4 linked regions of the Arabidopsis thaliana genome follow. The protein of the gene in region 1 interacts with the protein of each later gene in a pairwise test. Each region holds a gene or a part of one and is shown in the gene's direction. Other genes may lie near its edges.

Region 1 (8,860 bases):
CATCGGGTCTTGCGCATCCGCTCTATTGATCATTATAATTGGTTGCTGTGTTGTGCCACGGATTGTCACTAGTCCTAATAAAGAAGACGGAGCAGCGAATCAATTCAAATCTTGCATAGGAAAGCCCGATTTAGACACTGATCAGCCACTTGAAAATGTATCCCCTGCTCCATCGGTAACGCCTTTTGCTCAAGTGTTTAGACTCTCTGAGCTTAAAGACGCGACCAACGGGTTTAAAGAGTTCAATGAGTTAGGCAGAGGAAGCTATGGGTTTGTCTACAAAGCCGTGTTGGCGGACGGGAGGCAAGTAGCGGTTAAGAGAGCAAACGCAGCAACCATAATCCACACAAACACTAGAGAATTCGAGACAGAATTGGAGATTCTCTGCAACATTAGGCATTGCAACATTGTGAATCTCCTTGGTTACTCTACCGAAATGGGAGAGAGGCTTCTTGTTTACGAGTACATGCCTCACGGTACGCTTCACGATCATCTGCACAGTGGGTTTTCGCCATTGAGTTGGAGCTTAAGGATCAAAATCGCTATGCAAACCGCAAAGGGTCTTGAGTATCTTCACAATGAAGCTGAGCCGAGAATCATTCATGGCGATGTGAAGTCTTCGAATGTACTATTGGACTCGGAATGGGTGGCGAGAGTTGCGGATTTCGGGCTCGTGACATCGTCGAACGAGAAGAATTTGGACATCAAAAGAGATGTTTATGACTTTGGAGTTGTGCTGTTAGAGATTTTAACCGGTAGGAAACGTTATGATAGGGACTGTGATCCGCCGGAGATTGTTGAATGGACGGTTCCGGTGATCAGAGAAGGCAAAGCGGCGGCGATTGTGGATACGTATATTGCGTTGCCGAGAAACGTGGAGCCGTTGTTGAAACTTGCTGACGTGGCAGAGTTGTGTGTACGGGAGGATCCGAATCAACAACCAACTATGTCGGAACTTGCGAATTGGTTGGAACATGTCGCAAGAGATGCATTGATCTTCTAGCTTCTTTTTTTTAATGAGTGTTATTATTCTTTTATTTATGAATTCTGGTGAAATTGTATAATCAAAAATATACATTCAAGATTTGAGAAAATAATTTTCAATGAGAGGAAACATTATCCAAAAACATTAATTGTGATTAATTACACTTTGCTCAGCTAAAATTTTCAAAGTTGGTTTATGAATCTTTGAAACTAAAGAGGTGCTACTTCAATTGTTCTGTTAGCTGTTTATATGAATTAAAGGAGAAAATTAATATATGAACAGATTATTTTTATTTAGTGTTTTTATATATAACCATTTTTAACAAAATATTTAGCTAATTAGTTCATGCACACATTTTGTCTACTATATATGCAGTGTTAGATGAACAAATTCGTTTTATGTAGTGATTGTGTTTAACCATTTTCAACTAACATTTAGCTACTTAATTCATCCACACAATTTGTCAGACTACATAATTCACATGACATTTACTGCTCTGTAATAGTATTAAAGGAAACAAATATGAAAATAACCTACTAGTAATTCTTTTGACAATATAGAGCTTTTCTTAGTCATAAAACAGCTTTTGTTTCAAAATTGGAAACGATCTCTCTTTTTGGGATCTTACACAAAGTACACATGTACGAAATTCCTCATTGATACATCATTCCTCATTACGAACCACACAATTAGATCTAACATATATATATTTGTTCCACTCAAATACAAATCTTGTTAGGGTAACATCACCTCTGAGGAAACGACAAAATGAAGTTAATGAAAGTATTTGGCTTTAGATGGATTCGTAGATAGTACGTGACACGTTGCTGATATGCGGACTTCAGATAAATTATCGGCTAGTATCATAAAGATAATGTAAGGGTCTAAGCATACTCACTAATTAACGAAATATCTTCTTAGAAACACCTGAGCTCGATCTATTTCAATCATAGTGACTCAAACCTAAGAAAATCTTTGACATATGTATATTACATTAGTGTTCCAAGAAGATGCTACGTTCGACGTCATATTTGTTATCCTGTAAATTATAACAAAGATGCATCAACATTCAACAGAGAACAAAGTTTAGTTTTTATATATATATATATGTCACGATCATAGGTCTACATAACTATAAATTGATACAATTGATTTTACAGATTTTACACAACATATGTATCCAACTTGATGATATATCCGGTCTGCCGTTTCCCACTATATATAGAGTATTTTATAATTGATTCCCATTTATTTTTCTTAGTTTATATATGTTCGTCTTTTGGAATTGCTTAATGAAAGTGTGTGCGAGTGGTTAGGTATGCGATTCTATTATGTCTCTTTATTTATTTTTGATTTCGAATCGCACCACTACCTTCGTATGGGAATGTTTCAATATGATATCTATCTGTATATGATCACGAATATAATTTGATTTTGATCAAAATCAACATGTAATATAATTTCACGTAATATCAAACATCCAATAGTTACAGTTTAATCTGGCTACTGAATATATATATATATATATATATATATCTTCCTTTGAAAGAATGTTTATATATTTTTATTCTTTGTGACGTTTTTTTTAGCTAATGGTGATCTCTTGACTCTAAATTCATACAAATTTTTTAAAAAATTAGCTTAGGGTTTTGAAAATATAAAAACTCTTTTAGGGCTTATGTTTTCTTTTTGGTCAACGGAGCTTATGCTTTTGTAGAAACACTAATTTTTAAGACATTAAAGTATACATCAGTTTTGTTTTGTGTTTTGGGTTAAACTTATACACAATTATTCAAAGACGACAAAACAAGTTTAAATATGAATTCCAAAATACCAGTTCATCTTTTCGGACTACTGTATATAAGAATATTATGTTGGCAAAAAGTAGGTTTATTATAGGTTAAAAATAAAAATAAAGTATAGCCTACTTTGTTAGGAATACATATTAAACTTCACACTAATTACTAGTAGATATTTAGGCAATATAAGTCTAGAAGCGGAAAGTAGACAATGCCTATTGCCTAGTATACATTTCGGACAGCACAAGTGACTTTTAACTCTTTAATCACACAGAAGACAGAACTATGCAATGATCGACAACTTCTTCACTCTGTAAAATATTTGGATTTCTCAATTAATGGTTTCTGAAAATAACATCATCTTTTTAAAGCATGAACAAATTAATCCTAATGTAGACCTAAATAAAAATCTTAAGACCATCTTTATCAGTAAAAACAAGGAAAGATTCTAAAAAAAAATAAAAATAATATTTTAATTAAAACAGATACATTAATTATTATTTAATAATTGAATTAATAGTATGATGACACTTGTCCAAATTGGATGAGAATAGTTTCTCAAAGTTTCTCGGAAGAGAAATTCAACTCTCCTTCTCTTCTACTTTTTTTTCCTTCTATCATACTTTTTCTTCTTTAATTATTTTTTTTTTTTATTGGGTATCTTATTGAGATACTTCAAATGGAGATGCTCTAATAATTAATGGGAATGTGTTTCTAATTAAAAAGATAACATCTTTCTTTCTATATTTTTGTCGTCATATAACACACCTCAACTCTTTTAAGTACTCGTGTTGAATTTTGTTTTTTGAAAAGACAAAACTCCTTATAATCAACGTAATTATTAATAACAAGGAGAAAAAAAGTCCAAAGAAAAAAAAAAGAAAGCTTTTTGGGAACATAAACACCATCGAAGGAGGGTGGGAGGTGTTTTATGTTCATGGGTGGAGCTTCTTGGCCAACCTGACCCCATTCATCATATCATTACCCACTTTCTTCTCCTAAATTATTCTCTCTTATCTCTCTCTCTCTCTTTTTATTTTCTTTCTTTCTTAATTCATCTAAACTCTCTCTGCTTTTGCTTTTCGTAATTCCTTACATTTCACTCAATATTAATCCCCAGAATCTCCGATCCACCCACAAATTTAGCAATTTTCTGAGATTTGATCATTTGGGTCACCAAAAAATCTTGTCTTTTTGATCTGGGTTTAACGCCAATAACATATGGGAAACATTAGCAGCAGCGGTGGTGAAGGTAGACGCCGTCGACGGCGAAACCATACGGCGGCTCCACCACCACCTCCTCCTCCTCCTTCTTCTTCTCTTCCTCCACCACCTCTACCTACAGAAATCCAAGCTAATCCCATCGTTTTCGCTGCCGTTACTCCCTATCCTAATCCTAATCCTAATCCGGTTTACCAGTACCCTGCTTCTTACTACCACCATCCTCCCCCGGGAGCCATGCCTCTTCCGCCGTACGACCACCACCTCCAACATCATCCACCGCATCCTTACCACAACCACTCTTGGGCTCCCGTGGCGATGGCCAGATACCCTTATGCTGGTCACATGATGGCTCAACCGACTCCTTACGTTGAACACCAGAAAGCCGTCACGATTCGTAACGACGTTAATCTCAAGAAGGAGTCTCTTAGGCTTGAACCCGACCCGGATAATCCGGGTCGCTTTCTCGTCTCCTTTACGTTTGATGCAACCGTCTCCGGAAGGTAGATTTCACTTTCTCCCTTTCGTTGATTTCGTGATCCATTTGAGCAGATAACACGTGAATTTTGTTGTGTTCTTCCTCGTGACTATGTAATTTGGATCTTCTTATTGCAATTTGATCAAATCTTCTTCATGTGTAATTGAATTAAGCTTATGTTATTATGTTGGACTTGTGAAAAATAGGATTAGTGTCATTTTCTTTGCTAAAGAATCCGAAGATTGCAAACTCACAGCGACAAAGGAAGATATACTGCCACCTATCACTCTAGATTTCGAGAAAGGACTTGGTCAGAAGTTTAAACAATCATCTGGTTCTGGTATAGACTTTTCGGTCTTTGAGGACGTTGAGCTGTTCAAAGCGGCCGCAGACACAGAGATCTATCCATTAGCGGTTAAGGCAGAAGCAGCTCCCTCAGGTGGTGAGAATGAAGAAGAAGAAAGGTCGGGGTCGAAGAATGCGCAGATTACTCAAGCGGTTTATGAGAAGGATAAAGGAGAGATTAAGATTAGAGTGGTGAAGCAGATACTATGGGTTAATGGAACGAGATATGAGTTGCAGGAGATTTATGGGATTGGGAATACAGTTGAGGGGGATGATGATTCAGCTGATGATGCTAATGATCCTGGTAAAGAATGTGTTATATGTTTGTCTGAACCACGAGACACCACTGTTCTTCCATGTCGACATATGGTAAGTGAAAGCTGATGATTTACTACTATTATGTGATGATGGACATATATATAGATGTTAAAAATTGTTTGGGTTTGGTGGTGCAGTGTATGTGTAGCGGATGTGCTAAGGTATTGAGGTTTCAGACAAATCGATGCCCCATTTGCAGGCAACCTGTTGAAAGGCTTTTGGAGATAAAAGTTCACGGTAACAACGGAAGCGGGAATAACACCGGACAGGGAGAAACAGTTGAACAAGAGTAGCTAAACACGGCCGAGTATGGATTGAAATGCCATCGAAATATTAGTAGTATATGCATGTTTGATCCTTGTATGTTAACAACAAAATGTGTGATTGTCAATTCATAATATAGAGATTACGAAATCATTTGGAGTCATAATGACACAATACTTGAAACATTCTTCATTAGATACAACAACAAAGTAGGCAGTTTCTTACTTAGCTAGTTGCTCAACCGGAAGTTGCAGTGGCAGGTGAAGCCATTTTAGTTGCAATAAGACAGAAACTTAAACATGGAAAACACGAGATATAGTAGCGGCAACATGACATTCAATTATATAGCTGACCCCTTCGTTTCTTATTTAAAAGGGGCAATCTCCAACGTTTTGTGGTCAAATGGGCCTGCATTTCTTTTTATCCGCCTCTACTATTGGGCCCTAAGCCCGAGTTTTCCGGTTTCGTAAACAATAGGTTCATCATACTTGTGTAATTTCAATGTTTTGGAAAATTCGGTTCACAGCTTCGTTAAAACATCAATCATCTCATATCTGTGACTCGTAGTTTGGTTAAAAAATGATCCCAAAAAAGAGAGAGACAGATCCAAAAAATCATCTCATATCTGTGTCTCTCTCTTTGTTTAAATTTAAAATGCTTGCCGTAGACAAAACATACAAATACGAGGCTGTAATAAACAAGTATTTAATATAATAATAAGGACAAATAAACGGACCAAATTTAGGCCGAGAAAATGGGACATTGTGATATAATCTCAAAAAGAATTGAAATTTGTATGATCGATCAGATATCTCAATTTCAGGAACCCAGAAAGAGGGACTTGTCTTTTACCTCCAAAGGGTTCCTGCCGTTTCTTTTCTACAATTTTTCTCCTGCTAATTATCAAATTTTTCTTCTGATTTTCATTGTTTGTTAGAGATTCTTCTTCTCCTCTGCTTTTCTATTCTCTGGGAGCTCGATGATGGATGATAAAGCTCGCAAAGAAGAAGAACATCATGTGTCTCACCAACATAATCATTCTCCTCTGCAAAGGGTCTCTCGTTAATTCCATTCCAATCTTGTTTCAATCTATCTTCCATTGATATTGATATTGTTTATAAATTTCTTTCTTTTTTTATTTTGCTCATGGTTTTGATTTTGTTGGTTATCCTCAGAATTTCATCAATCTTCCATGATTTTAGGGTTTAGGGGTTTAGTAGATTGTTTAAGTCGAGTCTCTTGATAAAAGATTAGGCTTTTAAGTTATTTGTCAAAGATCATGCCTTTTGTTTTTTTGGAATCTGAGAAATTGGATTTGAAATTAATCTTTCTTTGGTGTTTGCAGGATGGAAATTCTGCTGAGATTGCACAAGGACAAGAGCTATCATCACCGGGCCGAGACCTATGGAGGCGAGGTCTTGTGTTAGATTTACCATCAACAACACCTGAAGATACTACAAGAGATGATCTTTTTAGACGAAATGCATCTTTAACTTCAAGTCCTGTTGCCAAAAGAGTCAACTTTTCTCCAATGTCCAGCCCTAGAGTCGGACAACGTGGTGCATCCTTGAGTCCTTCTTCTTCTACTTCTTCTTCTTCAAGAAACAAACCTAATAGCCTGAAGAATCTAATCCCCAAGTTAAGCTTTAAGAACCGGAACAGCAATAACGATAATGTGGATATCGAGAAAGCCGCGGATTTGGGCTTTGTGTCCTCCCCTTCTTCAGGAAATGGCAGGGACAGGTCTACATGGACTCTCACTAATATTTTAACTCCAAGATTGAAGAAAACTGAGTCTCTTCCTGTAACCCCTATAGCTCACTCAAATCCTGAGTCCACTCACGGGAGATTTGCCGTTGATCTAGTTACTTCCACGGTGAGTAACTTGACGGATCGTTTCATTTAGGTTCTCATGTGAATTCTATTGTGGTTTGTGCTGTTATCTCATTGGCAAGGGACATTTTATTGTCTCGTACTTCACCTTGGTCTCAGTAGAGTAATCTTAAGTGATGCATTGTGCTTGTAAAATAAGTTTAGCTAACTAGGTTATCTTCTGCTTCACTTCATTGTTGGTTTGACCAATTATTTTTATAAAAATGTTTTCCCAACAGAAAAAAGGGCCTCCACTGCCTATCCACCGTTCACGCTCTGTCCCAGCATTCAACAAAGATGGAAGTCAAAGGCAATTAGGTGTTTTCCGGGTGATTCCAACTCCAAACATGTCTCCAACCAGAAATACTATTAAACTTAACGGTTAGAAATTGTATTTTTTCATTTGATTTTTAAAGCCAAAAAGACATGAAAGTTTGATATTTTTGTGATTATATCCTTGTAACAAACCCTGTGCCTTATATTAGTGAAATGTTTCAGACGCGAATGTTGATGGAGCTGAAGATGTTCCTGAAGAAGAAGCTGTGTGTAGAATCTGCCTTGTAGAATTGGGAGAAGATTCAGAAGCCTTCAAGATGGAATGTTTGTGTAGAGGGGAACTAGCTCTTGCCCACAAAGAATGTACAATCAAATGGTTCACCATTAAAGGAAACAGAACATGTGATGTGTGCAAGCAAGAGGTTCAGAATCTCCCTGTGACCCTTCTTCGCATGCAGAATTCTCGGGGTAGTATTGGAGCTCCAGACGCCGAGGCTGCACACTACAGGCAAGTCATAGTCTAAACCATACCTCTTGAAAAAAATTCAAATTGTTATGTATATTATTGACCGGTTCTCGTCCTCTCAGTTTATGGCAGGATGTTCCAATTCTTGTGATTGTAAGCATGCTTGCATACTTCTGTTTTCTCGAGCAGCTTCTGGTAAGATTTAGTGAATTGTTTACTCTTACACTTGTTAGTATAAAGCTTTTGTAACATCGTCTTGTTCTTAATACTTTTTACAGCTTACAAAAATGCAATCTGGCGCCATTGCAGTTTCTTTACCATTCTCGTGCGTTCTTGGTCTTTTTGCTTCGATGACGGCAACAACAATGGGTAAGAAATGATTACAGTAAACAGTTCACCCTCAAAAAGTTTTGCCTCCCAATAGTTCTGAGTACACAAGCTATCAGATTAATTGATTATGTGGTCATCGATGTGCAGTGCCGAAGAGATATGTCTGGATTTACGCTACAACTCAGTTCGGTCTTGTTGTTTTTTTCTCTCACATTTTCTTCACATTGGTGAGAGTTTTTTTATCTGTTAAGAACAGAACAAGACACTCTGTTTCGTATTCTAACTCTCAGTCTATGTCGGTTATACTTGTGCAGGTTCGCATGCAGCCGGTTGTGGCCATTCTCTTAGCCACTATCGTTGGGTTTGGACTCACCATGAGCGGTACAACAGGTATAGTCGAGTTTTCGAAATGGAGGAGAAGCAATAGGACAGCTGAACTTCCAAGCAGTAGTCAAGTGGATCAACCACTGGTTGAGACAACAGATCAGAACATTTCTGGATCAAGA
Region 2 (7,628 bases), on another chromosome or scaffold:
CGACTACAAGAGATTCTAAGATGTTTGTTAGAAGCAACTGCCTTGTACGGTATATGATCTTCCAAAACCTGCTAGAGAGAAGGCTTATTTCGGTGATTCTCGAGCTTTTATATCGAACAATGCTCTGTTTTTGGTTCTGTTTTTTACTTTCAGGGCAGTGGTCTGGAAGAGCAATGTTGGCGTTTTCGTAGGGATCACGGATGTTCTGAAGTATCTCCATAGCGTACTCAAGAGAATTCAGCTGAGAAGGAACCGTGAATCCCTTGGAGAGCAAGAATGCTTCAAGTAAGTCAAGCCTTCCATGATATACAATGGTTCCTTTAGAAAGGAGTAACACGCGATCGATGAGAGACAGGATCTTGAAGCTAGGTTGGTGTATGGACAAGATCACGATCCTTTCTCTGGACGTCGCAATAGATTTGAGAATTTGAACGACATCGAAAGCGGATTTACTGTCTAAACCCGAGGTGGGTTCGTCGAGGAGTAGTACTTCCGGATCATGAAGAAGACTTAGACCAATTGAAACCCTCCTGCGTTCACCACCGGACAAGCCTTGACCTAGTCTTGTATGTGCAAGATGTGTTAGGTTTAGTTCTTTGAGGAGAGAAGCAACGACACTGGAGACTTTTGATAGGTTTTTTGGGAGCAAGAGAGAGGCGGAGAAAGTGAAGGTCTCGGAGACGGTGAGGAGAGGGAAGAAGGTGTCGTGTTGAGGAACGTAGGAGGAGATTTTACGGTAAGAAGAAGGGTTAATAAGGACGGAGTTTAGAAGTATTGAGCCTGAGGTCGGGGAGGTTCTTGCGGCAAGGATATCAAGGAGAGTTGATTTTCCGGCGCCGCTAGGGCCAATAATGGCGAGGATTTGGGAAGGATGAGAGGTGAGAGTGATGTTGCGGAGGATGAAGGAAGGTTGCTCCGCCGTGAGGAGGAGCGGTGAAAGAGGTTTGGCGTAGGAGATGGAAGAGGTGGATAAAGTGTACGACTCCATTTTGAGAGAAATGTTTAAAGGTTGGAGAAGGGAAGTGAGTGTTGTAAAGAGAATTTATTGATGCTTGAGTTTGGAATGTTTTGTATTTTCCAATGAAATTGACAATTTTTCAGTCTTTTTTTCTTTCTTATTTGTTTTTTGACCTTTTGGTTAATTATTTTGTCTTTTCTGTCATTTTGAATTTTGCGTTACATAGAACTCATCGAATATAATTGTGGTCAAACGGTGATGTAACCAGGATGCGACAGTAAGACAAGAGAGAGTCAGATATTGAAGAGATCATTAGAGATTCAAGTCCAAATTAAGATGGAGTTATTAGTGAGAAGGTGGATCCAGAAGAAACGAAAATTCTTAGATATATTCTCATAAAGAAAGCTTGCTAACAGTTACGTATACACACATTTATTGAAAACATGTAAAGATGGATCAAATGAATATGCATGTGTGTCATAGTGAATATATATTGTTGAGAAACTGAGAAGAAGAAAGCCAAAGGGGAATGCAGATAAAGGTCACGGGCCTGCTGACAATTATTACACAGAAAATTGCAAATCACGTACAAGTCTATTTCCCAATCTCTGCATCTTCCTTTGTTTGTTTGGCACACAATTTGCCAAACCATTTTTACAATTACATATTAATGACGTGACCAGTCCTGGATTTGAAGGAGTTTCTATAAAAACAATCTGGCTTAAACGTTAGTTAGTTATAGTTACTTGTGGTTGCTTTTACTTTAGGTATATCACCGTACATGCAAATGAATAAACTTTAGGAGTTAATAGGTGAAATAATTGTAAATGGTACAATTTCTTTATCTATGAAAGAAAATATTCTAAACAGAATTTGAATCATATTATAGTAACTTGTTATACATATCACATATGTGATATGTTTATATAGTTTGTTATACTAATAAAGCATTCTCTTCACTTTCTTTGGCCATCAATATATCCGTATCTCATGTTGTGTTTTTCCTAAATTTCTACACATAATAAAAAGTAGCATGTTGTTTCAAAGCCCCTTAACGGGTACAAAAACAAGAACAGAGTGCAGGGCTAAACAGAAGAAAATTGACATTAGGAAATCAGAAATAAGCCCATTTGAATGTGGATCAATATTGAAAAAAATGTGTGAAAAGCAACTTGCAATGTCACAAGATAAATATACCATGCCGTATATATCATAACTGCAAGAACAGACCCAAAACTGAAAAGTGAAAAGAATGTGTGTGGGTAAGTTAAAGAGTAATGAAGGCCGACAGGCGACAGTGGAGGAGGATGGACCAGACCAGGGTGCTGGGCGATGAGGACGTCTCGGCTAAAAGCTGAACCACCCTCCACTCTTAGGTCCCACAAAGGCTGGTCCTCGTTCACAAATGTACTCTCTCAAAGAAACACCCCTTTCTGCTTTATTACTATTCCCTCTCGTTCCTCCACTTTTTTGTAGCAGCTTCCACATGAATCATGTCATAACTGTTACAACATATTCCAAAAAAAAAACTATAGAATATATGTAGGAAATGTTAATCACTCTGTTTTTTTTGTATCTTTACTCTTTGTTTCTTCTCACTAGATACCGTCCTATACTTCTATTAGTGCATAACACTTCCTTAGACACTTGCTTTTACACTTTCCAAAATTATTTTAAACATGTATGTATATGATCATGTCGCCATGGTTGACGATATATACAATTATTGTACTTTCATCTCCTTTTCTCATCTTTTCTTTCAATAAACCTTATTTTTATTACCATATCTTCTCTTTTTCTTGCTAGCAAATGTTGATTATTTTATTGTAATTAAACTGTTGTTTATGACTTAATGTTCAAACTTCAAATAACATGTGTGAACTGTGAGGCATGCAATAATGATATTTGTTGCATATCTATCAGTTTTTAAAAGTGTCATCATAGCTCTATAAAGCTGTCTATTTAAATTAGATATACCTATCTCAAGTTCACTAATCCGTATCTAAAGAGAAAGAAAAATATCTTGATAACTAAAAATGAGTTTTAGAATGTACGGAGATAAGTTCTGAAAAAAACTGAACGAGCCACCTTTAAAAGTAATTAGATGAAGAAATAAACACAATTTGAAAAACTACATGAAAGCTAATCTCTGACTTGAGAAGTTGAGATATTTGGAACCTTTGTTAATTCTTTCAACACCGAAAACGATTTCTTAGGAAATTTCAAAAGAAATAAAAGTAAAGAGGGCAAGTATTCTGATTGTTAACCAAGCACAAAATGAAGCACCCATCAATCAATCTTTTCAACAATCAACATACCGATTCTAATTGGTCTGGCAGAATAATTACCGGAAAGGAAGAAGAATAGAACTCCAATATTTAATTATCGTACTTAATCTGTTTGTTCGAGAAACTAAATAATGGGTTCCTAGGTATATGTATTTATTTTATACATTATCTTCACATGTAACGTGCCTATTTAACGAGAATATGATTCCCTATGATTCATGCACAAACACAAATCAAATCCGGAATTTAAGTCGGATCAGGGAATAAATTATACAGCCCACACACATAATAATTTAAAACTAATATATACACAGTGAGGGGATTTAAAAGTAAAACTTATCTCCAAAGATTAATGTAAGCGACTAGTGATTGTGTTGGCATATTAACCGCACATAACATTGTTTGGGGGTTTGGATGCTTTAAAAAAGGTTCTGCCTTAGAAATTCCTTTTAGTTGACGTAATGATATATTATTGCTTACTGTAATACTAGTGGACACATTAAACAATGATCTTAAAGTACGAATGAAGAAATTAAAGAAAATGGAAGAGGAAGAATGTGGAAATGGAGAACGTAAGTGAAAGTGATTGGAAACTAATGGAATATCCGTTTTTCCTTTAGTCATGGTGGAAGCTGACGCTGAGAACCTACCCCTCCAATTGCACTACTCGCTCTATTACTTTATCTAACCAGAAGTTTTTTAAATACCCTTTACTGTATATAGTTCTTACAGTTTTATACATATTGTTAAGAACTCCATATATAGTGTATAAATGGCATTGAAAATAGTTTTGAGTTGAAACTCCTAAATGATATTAAATCTTGAGTTTAACCTAATTAAGCAAAGTAATAAAAACTGATTAGCCAAAACAAAGAGGTTAGTTAGTTCAACAGTTAGGTTAATGTGCAAATTGCCGTAACAAGATTATTAAATAATTCTTAACTTTAATTAACCTCTATCCATTATTGCATTTAAAAGATACTATTAATTAAAAGCCACCAATAAAAATTTAAACTTTATTAAAGTACTAAAGACGGATATATTAAACAAAACAATTATGAAAAAAATAAGAAAACCAACTTAATACAAGTTCAAATTAACATCCAAAAGAAGGAAATATACATGATTTTACAAATGTCTTCATTGAGCCACCACGTTAAACTAATATCATTTTTGAGGTTGATTAAAAAATTATTCATGTAAGTATAAATGCAAAAAAAAACTACATCTCTATATCAAAAACCAATCAATTGTTTACTCCATTATGGAAGATGATTCCCTAAAAAATAATTTCGTTAATACTCACTCTACAAAGTACAAATAATGAATACTGACTTTTTTCATACATTCCAAAAAAATACTGAAAACTGAACCATACACAAATCCATTGCATTAAGAAACAATCCATCCCATACGTTCCTCTATAAAACGCCTCTCACAACACAATCTCATCTCCCACCAATAAATTAATTACTTTTTTAACAAAGAAAACTTTCATTTCATTCACTCTTCCCAAACAGTAAAACACACATGCAGACAATGGAAGGACGACAATATAATTACCAAGACAGCATAAACGCGAGCTCCTCCATGGTGGTGCCTCACTCGCCTTGGCACTCTCCGGTTCCTTATCTCTTCGGTGGTTTGGCCGCCATGTTGGCTCTCATCTGCGTCGCTCTTCTCATCCTCGCATGTTCCTACTGGAGACTCTCCGGCTCCGCTGAGAGAGATCTTGAGGCCGGAGATGATGCCAAACCCGACAATGACACCAACAAAACTAAGCACACAGAAATGCCGGAGAAGTTTCTCGTCATAATGGCCGGTGATGTCAGACCTACTTACTTGGCTACGCCAGCGACTCGGTCTGAGCAAAGCTGTACTTGCGGCGATCATAACGAAGAAGAAGGAAGAAGAGGGTAGTGATCAGGTGGTATAGCAGAGCACCGGAGGTTACGGTGAGCCCTCCCTCATATTTTGAAAACAGAGCATTCGTTACGGAGTACTCCGGAATCGATCCGTCCGGTCTTTTTGTGTCGGTTCATAATTACGCCAACCTTACGTGAGCTGATGGGATATAAATTAGAGTTTTATTTATTTCGTATGGTTTTAGTTTTTTTTTGGTTGTCTCAGTTTTCTTCAAATTTTTCCCGTTTATGGTTCATGAAGGAATATCCGGTACATGTAAATTTTAAGAGTTTGAATAGATGATTGTTTTGGACTAGCGATTAAAGATAGAACTGAAGCTTGACAGACAAAATAAATAAAAGATACAACTAAAATCGTGCGTCCTTAATTCAGTTTTCGTGTATAGAGAGACAAAAATGTTTTCCCAGTGAGAGATGTACAGACATGATGCTTACGAAAGAGGGAAAGAGATGTGTTGTGAAAACTTCTAGTGATGTGCCAACAATGACGCATGCCGAATATTAAGCTAATTCGTTGTGGCGAACCGAAGTTGAGAATTATTCTCTTTGTACCTTTATTCCTAAATTTCTAGATATATTACTAAATATCATCAAGTTTTATCAAAGAACAAATAGCCTCTCAACTATACATTTCTCTCTTTTTTTCTTTTCCAGGCATATCCATTTATCATTGTTTACCATTCACTGAAATTGAAAGCATTATCGTTTATCGTTGGACAATAAATTGTCGTCTTTTGGATGATCAGTACAATGTGAACAGTGACACATATAATGGATGGAGACTACTGCAACTAACTGAATAATTGTTTTTCTAGTATGGGCAATTGGTCACTGGTTGTGTCATGTGTTTACGTCCTTTCGTTTTCTTGTCCAATTCCTACTATGTTTATTATGTGAACGTGTCAAAACAAACGAGCTCGCAAATGATGCCAATAAAACTGGAAAACCAACAATAATTGTGGAAAAATCGACATTCAACTGGCGCCAAGTCTTATGATCAAAACAAAAACTTATAGAATCGATAGTGACAAGAGAAGTATGAACCTTTTTTTTTTACAAAGAACGGGTAGATCTGTACAGATTCATTGTTCGACAGAACTATAAAACATTTTAAATAACCATCAAGGAAAAAGTGCCAAGAACTTTACCACGATTTGTATCGCATCAAGCATCATACTAAATACGATATAAATAACCAACAAAAAAGAGAAGAAGTTTGTGATGCTTATCGCCTTCTTACAGTGCTGACTAATTGCAGCGGTTGAAAATGTTTAGGGCTAGAGACCGAAATGATCCATCATGTGGAAGACAACATCTTTGCCATCAGAATGTAACCAATATGTTTTCACCTACACATTACAGGGAAAATTATGTCAAATGCTCTTAACAAAATCGCTTTTGAGTTTTGAGTTCTTATCATTAAACTTGCCTGGATGGTACTATGCGCGACGTATCGTTGCTTGCTATTGTGAAAGCTGACATCTACTCTTTCCCAAGATAGTTGACTGAGTCCATGTATCATTTCCTCTACATTTCACAAAAACCATAACAGGACGAAGTTAGTGATTCTACTTGTTATAAAGAAGACCAATGGGTAATAGATAGCGAGGCAAGGATCTACCACATTCCATAAATCTGATAGAGATATCATTTTTTCTAGCAAATTTTGAAAAACAAATAGTCAAGTGAGAAATAAAGCAAAACCTTCAAGATCAGTATCTTGCTCTGTTACTACTGTAGAAGTTGACTGGCAACTACCATTGTCCACATTTCCACGTTCTACGTATACAATGTGTGGATAGTTTGGATCCGTTGCTAGAAGATTTGGCTGGAAGATGAGCAGGGATAATAGTTATTGATAAATCCCACAACGTCATTAAAGATGTGCACAAAATATAATAAGTAAAGACATACCTTTGGGAGTTCATTTGGACGGCGAATTGAAGATGTCCTCCATCCAACCATAGCTTTCTCATTAGTTAAGGCAAACTCTTGTAAATGATAGAAATAATCAAAAACCATTGACAGTCTCTTTAAAAACATGTTTTTTTCAGGGAAGGATACAATCAAAATTCACGTTTGCATATGCCACACGACGCTTGAAAGCATTTAAAGCTGATCTGTTGAGGTCATAAGAAGAGATGATGAGCATATCAATCTGCAAGTCACCAATGAAAACACCCAGAAGCTAGAGCATTTACATGAATTTCAAGTCATCAGAATCTGTAGCCATCCGGATAAGAAGTGGAGCATTTCCATCATCGTTGTCCACCAGAAACAAATGCTTTCCGGTCCTCCCAGCAGCCAAATGTGCAGTTTGGGATGCTGTTCTTTCAAGAAACGGAAGGCCACAAAGAATCGGGAACTGAGGGAATGAAGACAAGAGTAAGCATGTCATACAGATTACAGAAAGAGATTATCTATATATATATATGCAAACCTTACATAAACATTTGA
Region 3 (7,394 bases), on another chromosome or scaffold:
ATGTACTCATATAATTTTGACAACAATATGAAAAATCGAAACACTAATAAATATCCGAATAATCAAACCGAAACTGAAATATAAATATTATTTCAAAAGTTATTATTATAAATCTAAAAATATCAAAATAAATAAATCAAAAATACTAAAATACCTAAAATAACCGAAAAATCCAAAAATTAACAAAGTTTTTTTTCAAATCTAACCAATTCCTCATATATAAAATACATGTATGGAGCCTCCAAACCTAAACTCTAAAACCATAATCTAACCTGAACTAGTACCCAAACGCCTAGGCCTAATAACGTATATGCCACTTATAAAACTTTATAACATTTCCAAATTTTCATTAACTGTATAATAATTTATTATAGATGAATATAACACTTTAGCTAGAGATATTTCAAAAAAGGTCACTCGGGATGGTAGAATAAGATCGTATCTATCTATAAGTGGACCTTTGTGGCTTCATTCTCTTAAGATATATTAGTCGACACATTATACATGTTAAATTATATATATTAATATTAATTTGAATTGAAAGTAATAAATTATTATTGTTTTAGTTGATACAATAAAAGAAAATTTTAAAAACTCTTACCAAATATTAAATTATTTTTGTTTCTACAAAATAACTCTAATTAGTCAATAGTTAATACAATTGAACAAAAAAAAAATAATTTGATATGTTTAAAAAGTATTAATAAAAGATAGTAAAAAATAGAAAATATTCAATAGTTTCTGAAATGAAAATAAATTTTTGTTTTAATTGTTTATATTAACTAAAACAATCGACATAAAAAATAATAATATTAATATTGATGAGAGATATGGGTGCCTCGTCATCAACGGTGCAGAATCTCTGTTCTCTGAGTCGGACCCGTATTCGATCGATTTTGTGTCGACCGGACGGCAGCAGGATTAGCCGGTGAGAAATTCCAAACCAGCGGGTGGGTTAAAAAAGGGAAGGGAGCTAGGAAAAAGTTTCACTTTTCTTGAAGTGAACTATGGATCCTGCGCAGCGAATCTTCAGGTCAAGGTGGATGCTTCTGTGTCATATCGCTGCAAGTTGGTTACTACAAGAACTAGTCTTACCATAGTCCATAGATGGTTGTTTGAAGATTCCTCTGCAAGGTAAAGCTACGAAGGAGATGATCGAGCTTAACGTTGAGAAGTTCATTGATGTGGGAACAGTGGATCACCGCAGTGAAACTCCGTACTCAATTCCTAAATCGAAGCTGACTCTAGAGTATTTGAGAGACCATACTTATTTTCGTGCAAGAACCTCCATGATTGCAGCAGTTACAAGAATCCGACATAAGATGTGTCTTGCGGCGAAGAATAGGGGCCGGACTGCATAATACTATTATTTCAAGTTATTCACTGCCTAACTCTATTGTCTTGTTTATTTTAACGTGTTAGCATTAGAACCCTAAGGTTCGATATATTACAGTGATCAATATGACAACATGTCATGTAAATGTAATTCCACTCTCCTTTTTTCTTCTTCTTGATATGTAATTCATTCTCTTTTCTTCTAATTCTAAACTTTTTTTTTTCCACTCATTCTAAACAATTAATAAACTCATTTCTTATAACTTTTTCCTTTTGAACCCAAAAAAAGAAACTTTTTTGACTAGAATCCGATCAACTATGGAAAAGGACTATTGTGAATAATCTCCTGAATTAACTAGAAAGTGCCAAGAGCTCCATTAATTTTAACTGGATTCAAACATCAAGATCCCAAAAAGATGCAACACTTGTAATAATAATGATAAATTAGATTTTAACCGCGATACACCCTGAGACGATTTATTTTCTAAAACTAGTGATTTTTAAATTAAATGATTATGCATTATATTGCAAATGACATCATGTTATAAAATATTTTTTTATATAAATATTTTAATATATAGTTTGCAATTGTTATAATTATATTATATGATATTTTGGAAGAGTTAAAAAAATACCAAACAAAGTTGATAGGTAAATCATAATTTTTAATCTTAACCATTTGTTTTAATTTTAACCAGATTCATTATTTTAACTGGATTCAAACATCAAGATCCTAAAAAGATGCAACACTTCTAAAACTAATATAGATTAATCAAATCAAAACATTACTAAATCAAAAGTTGAGATCACAATCATTAGAACAAGTCAATCGAGCTAAAAATATCCAACAAATGTGTCAAACTTCCATATAACTCTGATCTCATGAACTAAATATGGATTAATCATCCTAATCTCCACTTAATCCGGAACACCCCATATTCCAACACTTTACTGACATGTGTCAGAAGATGAAAGCTCCATGAGAGCTATATAAATTATGGAACCTTTGGAGGAACTTAACTCAATTCAATCTCATAATCACACTTTTATTCAAAGAAAATACTTAACTTTCTTTTCACTAAAGCTATTCGAAAATGTCAAGCAACTCCCAGAACATTAGCTTCCAAGCTGGCCAGGCCAAGGGCCAAACTCAGGTAATCCTAAACTATAATATTATTACTAGGGCCAATAAAAAATGATTAGGGCTCTAAAACTTAAAGTAACAAACGTTTATTCTTAAAACACTTATAATTTTTAAAGCAGGGGAAAAGTTTTTAAATTAAGTATTTCAATAGCAATTTTGTCTGAGATTTTTTCTTGTAGTAATTAATTGGTTGATGGTGTTCAGGAGAAGGCTAGCACCATGATGGACAAGGCTAGCAATGCTGCCCAATCTGCCAAGGAGTCTCTCAAAGAGGTTCGTATAATCTAGATAATTTTCATGATTAATTAAATCGAATTCTTGTAATAGTATGGAACTAATTAAATTGTTTCATTTATAAACATTTGTATAGACCGGCCAGCAGATTAAGGAGAAGGCACAAGGAGCTACCGAATCAGTGAAGAACGCCACCGGCATGAACAAATGAATACAATAATCATATGATTCATTATGTTATTTTTTTTACGAATAAAAACAATAATTCATTTTTTGAAACCTAAAGATTAGGTTCAACGGTTTGATTATTCAGACTGTTGTTTCTTTCTTTCTTAATATTATTACTTCTTCTCTTGGATTTTTGTTTCTGTTTATTATCTCATGATCATGTAATCTTTGAGATCCTTTTTCATTATAGAGATCTCTAATAAAATAGCATTGTCTTATGATCGTATTTTTCTTTTCTGCTTTCATTCAAATTATACGAAAATGTGGCTGAATTGGCATTATACCGGTATGGCATATGTCTTTTTGTTAGGGTGGAAAAAGAAAACGTATAACTGAAAAACCCTTCAAAGTAAACAAAAAAACAAAAATTGTTTTTATTAACTAATTCGTTTTATTAATGAGAAAGGCAATAACCCAAAAAAAAAATTCAAACCAAACCGCATCAAATAAATAAAAAGTTCTCATGATTTTACATCTTATATAAATTATACTTAGTATGGCCACCATTTGAGATTTATTAGGAGGAAATATATAATGGATATTTGTATTATATCATGTATTTAAATAATGTTCCCTTCGCATGGCTCTCAAAGCCTCTTAATTAAGACAAAGTTGTTGACAAAAAAAAGAGACTATAAATCATTATTACTTACTTTTATAATTTATTAGGTAAAAAACAAATACAAAAATTTTCAGATGACAAAAGATACAAGAATATAAAATTAAAAATTAAGAAACTAAATATACAATCTTATATGTGAAAAAATGATACTAACAATTGATTATATAAGTTATTATAAACTAAAGAAAAGATATATCTTGATACAACAAGTTTAGCTTCAACTACACAAATATTTTCACACAAAAAAAAAACTACACAAATATTTAAACAATTCACTCAATGTTTTTTCTCTCTCTTGATTTACCTCATTCTTGCATATTCTTGTACATAATATTTTTGTTTTTAATGGATGTGGTTGGCGAAAAAAATAAACAATATTGTTTTGTTTAGAAAAATGTAAACATATGAAACTGGGTTACACAGTAATTTATATGTATCTTGTATACGGACTCGATAGAATTAACATAAACCAAAAAATCAATTATTCAAGAAAATTTCATCCTCATAAACACAGGATCTAAGCTTGGTAAGAAAAGAGATCAAAGAATCTCTTAAGTGTTCAAGAAAGAATAATTACTTTTAGGACAAAAACTCAGAAGGCAACTTGGCATCTAAAGACTGTGCAAAACTCTCACTTTTAGGTAATACGATATAAATAAATAACCCCCACAAACTTGAGAAGAGAAAAGCTGGTGGAAGAGGAAAGATCAGATTTCAAGATCAACGAGGCAATGAGTCTGCATAGGGATTCAATGGTCCCGGTTAACTCCAGGTTAGAGAACATGGACTCTCCGATTCTCTCTAAGATTTGTGCGTGGGGCGTAATGCTGGGGCTCTTTGCGCTTTCATTATTCGCTATGGCCTATGCTTGCTATCATAAGCAAACTTCGAATTCATGCATCGAAGAGAAACAAGGAAAGAAGCAAGTGTTGAAGCCACTAGATATGGAACCAAAGATTGTTGTAATAATGGCTGGTAATGAAAACCCTACCTTCTTTGCTAAGCCAACCCAGATCAATGCATGACCAGTATTGTCTTAAATGATCATGATGTCAAAAATCACAAGATTAGTGTTATATTTTTCCATTCATTCGCTGGACGAGACCATTAATATTCTACTGATATATTTATATATACTTGATTAAGTTTTCTATAATAATTTTTTTATTTTTCTTTGTTAACTTTTCAATAAGAACAATTGTTTATAAAATTTTCTATCAACAGCAAAAAATAAATTATGGCAAAGATATATATGTCTAGTCTAAAAATTCTTCAATAAATAATTCATAGAAAGCAAAAAAATAAAGAATACTATCAAGAAAAAAATAAAGAAGATAGTTAAATATTAGAAGTGGATACAATATGTGTTTGTGTTCGGTTTAAGTAAAACATAACATATAGAGCTGCTGACATGAAGATGGCCAAGACAGACCCCACGGCTACGCTAACTTGGAAGAAACCAGGCTCCATATTGTTTCTTACGCACTTCAAATTTGTTCTTTCTCACCTTTTTTTCTTCCGTGTCTTCTTCACTTTCTCGGTTGCAAAAGATACTTATATATGTATGCAGGGCCGGCTCAACAAAACGTGGGACCCTGTGCTCGTTAATTTTTTTTCTAATATATGTTCTATATGTTTAGAATTTAGTTTGATTATACACTACTGTTTGTAAAATGGACCTTGATTGCTTAAAGAAAATGATTGAAAAAATAAAGGACCCTGTGCATTAGCACCAAGGGCACACCCTCTAAGCCGGGCCTGTATGTATGTATTGAAACAAAAGTTTAGATTTTGTAAAAAAACGGTGAAATTGGTAAGTTTTACATTATGCTATCAATAAATTTGGAAATTTTACATTTAGTCGTTAAGGAGCATTAACTAGGAAAAATAACAAATATTCCATTTTATGGTAGCTTTATTTAAAGTGCTAGATCCTCGAATATACTGTGTTGTTCGCATATGTGTGTGTTAATATTACTATCGAATATATTGAACTATACACTTTTTGAGTCAATTTGGTTAAGTGTCTTTAATTAGTTATACACATGTTGATCATAGATCCTCTTTCACCGATTAAATCACATCAGTTTTATTGGTTTTGCAACTACTTTAATGTTTTTTTTTCAGCAAACCATCGTATATGCCAACAACAAGGTCCATCTTATACGGGAAAATGGATTAAAAAAAATCTCACATGAAAAAACCTACGTACCTTATGGTTTTTAAATGATTTTAAACCCTCGCTTTTTACTAAAAGATTTTGTGTAAAAAAGACCTAAAAGTCGTCCATTTCTATAAATTTATCATGCACCTCCAAAAAATGTATAATAATATTACAAAATCAAAAATAATATATAATATAACATTTATACATATATTGTAAATATATATACGATCACATATATTTGATTTTCAAAAATAAAAAAGTATAGTTGAAATCTTTGTCTTGAATGCTTTGATTTTGATATATTACTTATCAACTTTTTAAAAACTTGAAAATAACAAAAAGGAGTTATTTTGGAAAAATAATTCGTAAACTAGAATTTAAAAAAATAAATAACAAACTAAGTTGTTTTTAAAAATATAATAATTTATTTGGTATTTATTTAGTTTATTAATAAGTCTAATATTAAAGGTTATTTTATTATTTTTAAAAAATTTAGAGTTTAAAAAATCACAAAAAAAGTTGAGAAAGTGGGTGATTGGTTTAAAATTTAGAATTTTTGCTGTACAGATTTTACTGTAGCTGTGTTGGATGTAACTGTAACTTTTATTGCTGTAGAATTTTTGCTATAAATTTTTAACTTTAAATATTTATAAAAAATGGATTACTAAATATAATAGTTGTAATAAAAAAAATTTTATAATAAATAAAATACCTTGTATTACTAATTTAAATATATATATTATGATGATATATAAAAAAAGGCCTATGAATTCTTAATAAAATAAATCTAAATTTTACCTAAAATTAATACATAAATTCATTGCAATCTCAATTTTTTCATTTAGGTTTAGTAATTATCAGTTTTTTTTAGAACTTATCTTTTTTTTTGTTATATATTTATAATTTAATTTTTTGTATTTATCTAATGAATTAAAATTTCTACAGCAAAGAAAATAGGGCTTTGAGAATTTACTCTATTACATCCTTAAAAAAAAAAAAAAAATGAGCTATAAATTTAAAAATAAAGCTACAACACGATTGATTAGTAATCAAGGCTTTAAAAAAAGTTAAGGTTATAAGTCAGACTTAAAACCCAACCAATCATGCACAAAATTTCTACATATTTTTCTGAAAAATAAGGGGTTCTTAACCTATTTTTCCTTTTTATACCAACAATATGGTATGTCGAGATAACTTTACTAAGCGCTGTTTTAAAATTAAAACTATTGCAATATAGCCTAGGTCCATGGACGTAACTTCTTATCTTTTATCTCCCTCCTATCTTTTAAAGAGAGGAAGCTTGATTTTTTTTTGTCTTCGATTAAAATTGGTTCTTTCCGGCTAAATACATTTTTTCTATATATTCTCGGCTAAGTTCGAGTTCTCTCTTAGCCGCTTTGGCTATATTATTGTTTGTTGTTTTTGTTTTCTCCCTTTTTATAGTTATTAGATCTCTTCTAATTTAGAAGAGATAAATGTAGTAGTGTTTGTTGGGAGAGTCAAAGATCATCAATTGCTTGATTCTCTTGCAAGGAAATATAAATCCTCATACCTTCTTATTGGGACCGTATTTTGGTTATGGATGCATGTTCTCCTTTTGGCTGGGAATCGTGATGAGTGGAATTCAGTGACTAGTGTAGAACTTATCAGAAGAGCGTGTTTTA
Region 4 (7,346 bases), 9.4 Mb from region 1:
ACCATGTTCACACTTGGGGAAGCTTTGGGACTCAAAATTCATTGGCAAGCGGATAAAGTTATTTTGGACAACTTATCAAAATCTCCAATTAGAAGTTCTTATTCAAAGGTAACCCAGGTCTCAGGAGTTTACTTACTTTATTCTCAATACTTGCAAGCTAAATTTCATATGCTAATATTTGTGAATCACTTATAGGGTACAATATTAGATGAGTCAGTTACAAGATGCAAAGTTTATGATTGGAATTCTCATGGTGATGTTATTGCTGAGGGTATTTTGTGTTCCACTAATCCGGACCAAATGATCGATAACATTCCTTTGGGAAAAAATGCAGCCATTGTGAAGATTGTCAATGTTCTGAAGGAGGCGGCTTATGTGTGGAGGCCAACACTTGACATATTTGTGATCCCTGACGCAGTAGATCATGAAATCCCATGGCCAATTAAAAGCTTAGAAATCATCATTCATACTGCAGAGAATTCAACAATGATAAGATCGCCTAGGGTAAGTTTTGATGTTGCAATGACGTGTAATTTAAATTTAGTATTTGAGATTTTGATGAGTTTGTTTTTGATGCGTTAGACTACAAGTACCAACTCTGGTTCCAGCAGCAAAGGAAAAAAGCATACGAAGTGCATCCTCTTGGATTGTTACAATTCTGGTAAAACTGTTGCAGAGGGCCGAGTTTGCTCGACGGATCCTGCAACTCTTCTACATTTCAAACCCATAGGTCCCAAAGCTAGCAAGGTCTTCTTAGGTGACAATATGATTCACACAACAAGAAGATAAGTGTACATGTCTTCTTAGGTGACAATATGAGATACAATGATATTCATTTCAAGAATAAAAACGTTTCAAAATATTTTTAAATAATTTCTAAAAATCTGCAATTATGTAAACATAATAAATTTGTCAATATATATTTTTTTTTTCATAAAAAATTTGAAAATGGCATGTAAAAAACATTCTTATGCCTTCATGAAATAGCCAATTAGAATGTTTCACTCGGATTGATGTCGTGGCGAAATCTCAGCCTTTCCTCATGCCATCTTAAATAAATGTCCAAGCTTGCCAAAACGATCCAATCACCATATATCACTCGGATACATGACGTGGCGAGATATTGGCCTTTGATTTGTCTGTTTCGTCTCCTTTTCGATAATTTATTCACTTCTTTCGATCCAAAAAATTAGAACATCTCAGAAGAAGCCTCCTTTCGATCTGTCAGCCATTGAAGAAACCTCCTTTCGATCTGTCAGCCATTGAAGATCAGAAGAAACAAGACTCACACGGTCAGCCATTGAAGAAGCCTCCTCTCATTACCTCTCATCAAACATCTAGATCTGTACCCAAACCTTATCCCTTTTTCCTTATTTCTCGCTTTGTCTATTCTTAATCTGATTAATACTTGTTGTTGTTCCAGGTTATAGAAGATCTGGGTTGTGTTATATGCTTCATTTTCTCCACAGGTAATATTCTTTTCATCCTTTCAAAAATAATTTCCGATTCGTCAGAGTGATATTGATAAGATGCGAGTACCATTGATTTTCTTTTGTGTATATTGAATGATTCTTATATTTCAGCGACCAGTTGGTGTTTGGTTCTTAGATTCATGAAGACCAATAGAGAGGTAAACGATTAGCCATTAGTAACTTATTTGTAATTCAAACGACTAACTTTCTTTAGTTTACTGAGATTAAATCTTTCGTTTTGTAGCAGGAAATTTACGTTGAAAGAAGCTTCAAACCAAACAATTCAACAATTCAGAATTTGATGGACATTGAAAGGTTCATTTTGCCTCACACTTCTACATCAGGTGTCGCAAGGCTCAAAATGAGGGTCATATCATGGGTCGGGCTTCAGTTCTACAACTACTGATATTGGGCCTTATCACAAATTAGTTATAGGGCCATTGTATCCAATATTTAATATCTCTGTAAACTTGTTTAATGGTTATTTTGTTCTAATGCCCATTACAACTAGACTTAATATCAATATAAATACTTTGTAAAATACTTTTTTTTTGTTAAAGAGTCACCAAATAGTATAAAATAAGGCATAAAATACAGTAATTATATGGATACTCTAAATACAGTATCCAACGACTAAATACAGTAATTATACGGTATAAATTACAATATAAAATATGGTATAAAAAACAGTATAAATTACAGTATTAAAATACAATATCCAGCGCTTAAATACAGTAATTATACGGATACTCTAAGAAAGCTATTGTTCAGCAACCCTTAAACTATCAATTATTACATAATTTAAATGCTATTATAAATTTAAAGTACTGCTATAGTTACGCAATTTAATAGCAAATAGTAATTGCTATTGTAAAATTAACAATAACACACAACAAAACGCTATATTAGTTGAAATTTTTATAGCAGAACCCAAACCGCTATATAAAGTGTTCGACCTACTATAACAAGCGCATACATAGTGTTTACTACAACGCTATAATATCTTATAATATTGTTTTTCCTGTGCTATTGATACTCACAATTCCTGTAGTGAATTCTTTGTCGCATAGTCTCATTCCGAATCTAGAACTTGACTGTCGTTTCATTGACTGCAAAAACATCGATCAGACTTGTTTTGTCTCCCAATCTCCATATTTTATTCACAATCATGTGAATGTTACCCACATGTGGAGCCTTTGTATTGAGAAATTTGCCAATCACAAAATCTTTCCATAACGGTTTAGCTCCTACAAAAACCTCTTTTGGGACAACAACTCTCCCTTGACCATCTACTTCATCAACCACAAACTTTTGTTTAGTAAAAACATGTTTTTGAGCTGCTTGAACGTATGACTTTTTGACTGTTGGACCCACCACCCTTTGAGTCTACGGAGATTCTCGTTGGCTAGATGCATGCCTCCATTGTGAAGTTTGATCATTGAGATCGATGGCCATGTTCTTTGAGATCCTCCTTCTGACTTACCTGAATCCATGTAGTTTGTATGCCTTTAACCTCTGTCGCCGGAGCTTCCTCCAGCTGCTCTGGAGAAGCCGACAGCTGCAGCATACATGCTGAAACTACAAAAACCCTAATCGAGTTAAGCTTTGTTCATCTTTCCACGTCTACAAAGCTTTTCAGTCTTACTAATCGAGTTAACAATATCATATTTGGGTTCAGACTTTCGGGTGACAAGTAATAGTATAACAAACAAAACCAAACCAAACCGTTTGGTTTGAGACAAAGGTTAACAAAACGATTGAACATATATTTTTTGGTTGGTTCATTTCCCTACTTTTAATAAAAATTAAATGACAGTCCCATTCACGACTTCCCTTTTGTGGACAAAAGCAAATATGAAATTTACTCGATGCTTCTATGTCCCGCTTAAAAAATGAACATAACTAAATGAAATCAAAGTCCCTAAATCCCAAAAGTTATAAAGACGACATTGCATGTTTTCTGTTTTTACTCAAACTACCAAACATAATGTCGTTTGGTTCCGTTGAATCATATGAATTAACGGTTGACTAACATCTGTTATATAAACTTATTTTTACACATAATTTAAAAAGTTAAGAAATCTATTTTTTAAAATTAGTCGTTAAGATAAAAAAGACATCAAATATTTTAGGGGAATTGACAAAAATAGCAATGAACAAGTTTTTCTTTCAGAAATAGAATATCTTTTGAAAACTTCCACAAAGAGCACTATTAACTTTAATTAAATATTAAATATAAAATAACTAATTTAATTAAAATAAATAAATAAAAGAAAATATTTCCCCCGCAAAAAAAAAATTGTCAAATTTTCTCACCAAAAAATTTAGGAAGGTAACTACGAAATTCGGGAAGGATTTCACAAAATTTAGGAAAGATTCTACAAAATTCAGGAAAGATTTTAGAAAATTCAGAAAAGGCTACACAAAAATAAAAATTATGAATATTGTGAAAACCTTCCTTAATTGCTTAGAATCTTTCCTAATTTTGTAAATCATGAATTTTTTTTTTTTGGTGGAAAAAGTTTGACAAAAAAAATTTCCCCGAAAACATTTTGGCGGGAAAGTTTTTTTGGAAATTCTTTTTTGATAAAGATACTTTATTATCTAATTTTATTTTTTGGCACTACAACTAAATAGTGTAGAAGTAATAATGTTTTTTTCGCTAAATACCTTTAACATTTACAAGTTTTTTTTATATATTTAGAACTAATGCTAAGCTTTACTTTAAGATATTGGAAATAATTATTTTTCATAATGTTTTAAACTCAAAACATTCATATATACCTAAATGAACTTTCACATATTTATGTTAATTTATAATAACGAAAAAATAACATTTGCATGCATGTATACCGTTTTTATATCTTGGTTCATGCACACCATTGTTTCCATTTCCAAGTGTCGGAAAAAATAAGTAAGAAGAACTAATGTAATGTCGTCATGACATGACACATGAACAATAAACAACAACAGATATAGTTAATAAAAGAAAAGAATATCTGAACGCACAAGGAATCTTCCTACTTCACTTTAAACTAAAATACGCCTACACTTCTTAGTGATCAATTAATTTAAAAATTATATATCAATTTTGTACAAACCTTCTACTATAAATTCCTTAATGCCCATAACTAAAATTCCATAGCTGCACTTACAACACAAGAAAAAAGAGACTACTAAAAATCATAATGAGGCCGACACCAAAAGTAGAAATCTGGAAGTCACCAGTACCATATCTCTTTGGTGGTCTCTTTTTGCTTGTTTTGCTTATAGCTTTGGCATTACTCTCATTGGTCTGCACACACCAAAAACCTTCTTCCTCTAGCAATAACAATCATATGGATGAAGAAGACGATGTCGGTGACAAGGACGCTAAGCCTATTACAAGAGAGTACTTACCTAAGATCGTGGTGATTTTGGCCGGAGACAATAAACCTACTTGCTTGGCTGTTCCGGTCGTGGTTCCTCCACCCACTTCCATTTTTCGTTGTAACTGTGACAATGTTACTGTCATCTCAACCTAACCATTAACATCTTTTTCTTCTTTTGCCGACAGAAAGATTAAGAGATTTCGACTTTTGTAATAATCAGCGGCAATTTTGTAACAGTCGATAATTTTTGTGGCAATGTTAGTATAGATTAAGTTTTGTGTTATTGCTTTTGTTTGTTGAGTTTGTTTTTGGAACAGCTTATGAATTATTGTTCTCTTTTTTTAGTACAATGTTTAAATTTAAAGATATATTAATTTGTCATACGAATTTTATTTTTCAAACATCATTTTTAGATCTTTACTTACAAAGTAGATGAGCATACTTTTTTTTTTTTTTGTCAACCGATATAAATTAGAACTCAAAAGAGTCAATCTCGAGGGATATTGTTTACATACGTGACATGATGCGGTACGGTACGAATCTTTCGTGCCAACTTATCCGCTTTTACATTTGCACTACGAGAAATTAAAGATAAAGAGAAATTTGTGAATTCTTCCCTATCACTTTGCAACTCCTCCAAATACACTGAAAACGCCGGCCATTCGGTTGGAGAAGACACCATCTTCACCAAGTCTGAACAGTTTGTAAAGAAAGCTAAGTAGATGAGCATACTTTGGGTTCGGAAATTGCAAATCTTTGATAAAAATTTTTAACTCATCGTAGAATGATTATATTGAAACGTCATCAATATCACTATGGAATTAATGTACCGATTGAAAAAATTATTATTAACAATATTTAGGGTTTGAACATGATAAATAATTCACAACAACAATACTAGTATACTCTAATTAATAGTAGAAGTAATGTGCATTAATAATGATAAAAGTATGTAAAATTTTAATGTGGGCTTTTCTAATTTCATTCACATAATGATAACTTTCACATTGATTGGCAGCTATTGGTGGACGCCGCGGCTTGAAAACGCAAAGAATTGGACGGTCCAAAGTGTGATCTTTTACTTTTGGACTATGTGGCTCTCAAGTGGTCGCCATCTTTTCTCGTGTGATCACTTTATTTGTGCGCTTATGCATATATACTAGATTTTAAAATAAAATATTTAATTTGTTTAATAAATTAAAAATAAATATAATTTATGTTTTATATTATCTAAATATACAATTTTTATATTTATATATATTTTTACTATAAAATTGCTATGTTTGATTTTTACTGTTTAAAAATATTAGAATAATAACATACTGTTTATTAAGTTAAAATCTAAATTATAAAAATAATTTAAATTTAAATTATTTTATTTTTTGATATTCTTTATTTTGTTTAGGGTTTAAGATAATATAATTTTATTTTGATTGTTATATCTAAAATTTTACCTGTGATATACCGTCTCGTATTACTATTCACTCAAACCCGTCCTACCATCTAATCTCGTTCAGTGAAATTAAACAATCTAATTAATTTCACCTGTAGTATATTCTCTCGTATTACTATCGACCCAAACCTGTCATACCATTTAACCCCCGTTCAATGAAATTAAACATTATTTTGTTATTTTTCTTTTAATAATATTTTAATTTAAAAGATATATAATTCAAATCAATCTAAAAATATATAATTCAAAATTCTCATATTATAGACATGTGAATGAAACCGTGCAAATTTTTGAAGAGATTTTTAGAAACGTTTGTTGAGCGCAATATAAAATATTTAAATTTTCAAATATGAATAATTAATACCAACTGATATATTGAGAGATTTTTGGCAACTATTGTTGAACGTAATATCTTGTATATAATTATCAACATTTGAAATTTAATGTCAATGACATTGTCTTGTAAATAAGTCTCTACTTCAGGATTTATTTTACTAAATGGCTGCAAAAATGTATATGTAGATATATATAGGTTTTTTGTTTTGAAACATTAAATATATTTATTTATTTACTATTATTATGATTCAAAGATATTTGTATTTTATGTTTCACTTTGGGTTTGATGTTATAAAAACATAAAAAATGTTTTGTTATTTTGAAAAGATAATAAATACAAATTTATTTTTTTAACTTCCGACTTTCTTATATTGTAAACGGATAATACAAATAGTTTAAAAGCAATTCCGGTGGTACAGTAAAAGTTTGATAAAAATTAGATATTGAAGCTTCAAATCATGAAAGTTTGTCTATAGTTGTGTTCTACTTGTAATTACACATGTAGAAATCTCATAGGTTCTACTTTGGACAAAGCTATTGTCAAAATTACATTTAAAATATCCCTCTGGGGTGGACTCCATTTTTTATTACTCTATATATCGCATCGGTCTAGCTTGTGACTGACTAATACTCTGTATGAACTCTGTAGTATCTTGTGTAGATTCAATCCACTCAGAAGCTTCTTGTACACCTTTCTGAGCCACCTTCCATGGA

What was found.
Region 2: the proteins of LOG2 (region 1) and GDU2 interact in a two-hybrid assay, tested with the Arabidopsis thaliana proteins (2 studies listed by BioGRID).
Region 3: the proteins of LOG2 (region 1) and GDU7 interact in a two-hybrid assay, tested with the Arabidopsis thaliana proteins (2 studies listed by BioGRID).
Region 4: the proteins of LOG2 (region 1) and GDU6 interact in a two-hybrid assay, tested with the Arabidopsis thaliana proteins (2 studies listed by BioGRID).

The regions. Positions count from the first base shown.
Region 1 is NC_003074.8:2,992,981-3,001,840, reverse strand, and holds LOG2 (RING/U-box superfamily protein), read left to right. Parts: upstream 1-3,585; 5' UTR 3,586-4,005; coding exon 4,006-4,508; intron 4,509-4,689; coding exon 4,690-5,197; coding exon of another isoform or gene 5,198-5,212; exon of another isoform or gene 5,213-5,283; coding exon 5,284-5,439; 3' UTR 5,440-5,662; downstream 5,663-8,860. Other genes in the region: CCR1 (CRINKLY4 related 1), read left to right, coding at 1-1,003; AT3G09760 (RING/U-box superfamily protein), read left to right, coding at 6,390-6,464, 6,756-7,286, 7,522-7,663, 7,781-8,066, 8,147-8,219, 8,303-8,393, 8,502-8,581, 8,669-8,860. UniProt on the Arabidopsis thaliana protein: Acts as an E3 ubiquitin-protein ligase, or as part of E3 complex, which accepts ubiquitin from specific E2 ubiquitin-conjugating enzymes and then transfers it to substrates (in vitro).
Region 2 is NC_003075.7:13,111,373-13,119,000, forward strand, and holds GDU2 (glutamine dumper 2), read left to right. Parts: upstream 1-4,655; 5' UTR 4,656-4,776; coding exon 4,777-5,166; 3' UTR 5,167-5,583; downstream 5,584-7,628. Other genes in the region: ABCG4 (ABC-2 type transporter family protein), read right to left, coding at 1-988; AT4G25770 (alpha/beta-Hydrolases superfamily protein), read right to left, coding at 6,517-6,698, 6,876-6,999, 7,086-7,138, 7,236-7,291, 7,373-7,536. UniProt on the Arabidopsis thaliana protein: Probable subunit of an amino acid transporter involved in the regulation of the amino acid metabolism. Stimulates amino acid export by activating nonselective amino acid facilitators.
Region 3 is NC_003076.8:15,521,820-15,529,213, forward strand, and holds GDU7 (glutamine dumper 7), read left to right. Parts: upstream 1-4,245; 5' UTR 4,246-4,294; coding exon 4,295-4,588; 3' UTR 4,589-4,756; downstream 4,757-7,394. Other genes in the region: AT5G38750 (asparaginyl-tRNA synthetase family), read left to right, coding at 831-928, 970-1,039, 1,122-1,361; AT5G38760 (Late embryogenesis abundant protein (LEA) family protein), read left to right, coding at 2,430-2,489, 2,684-2,752, 2,850-2,924. UniProt on the Arabidopsis thaliana protein: Probable subunit of an amino acid transporter involved in the regulation of the amino acid metabolism. Stimulates amino acid export by activating nonselective amino acid facilitators.
Region 4 is NC_003074.8:12,347,849-12,355,194, forward strand, and holds GDU6 (glutamine dumper 6), read left to right. Parts: upstream 1-4,623; 5' UTR 4,624-4,660; coding exon 4,661-4,996; 3' UTR 4,997-5,185; downstream 5,186-7,346. Other genes in the region: QQS (qua-quine starch), read left to right, coding at 1,613-1,630, 1,717-1,878. UniProt on the Arabidopsis thaliana protein: Probable subunit of an amino acid transporter involved in the regulation of the amino acid metabolism. Stimulates amino acid export by activating nonselective amino acid facilitators.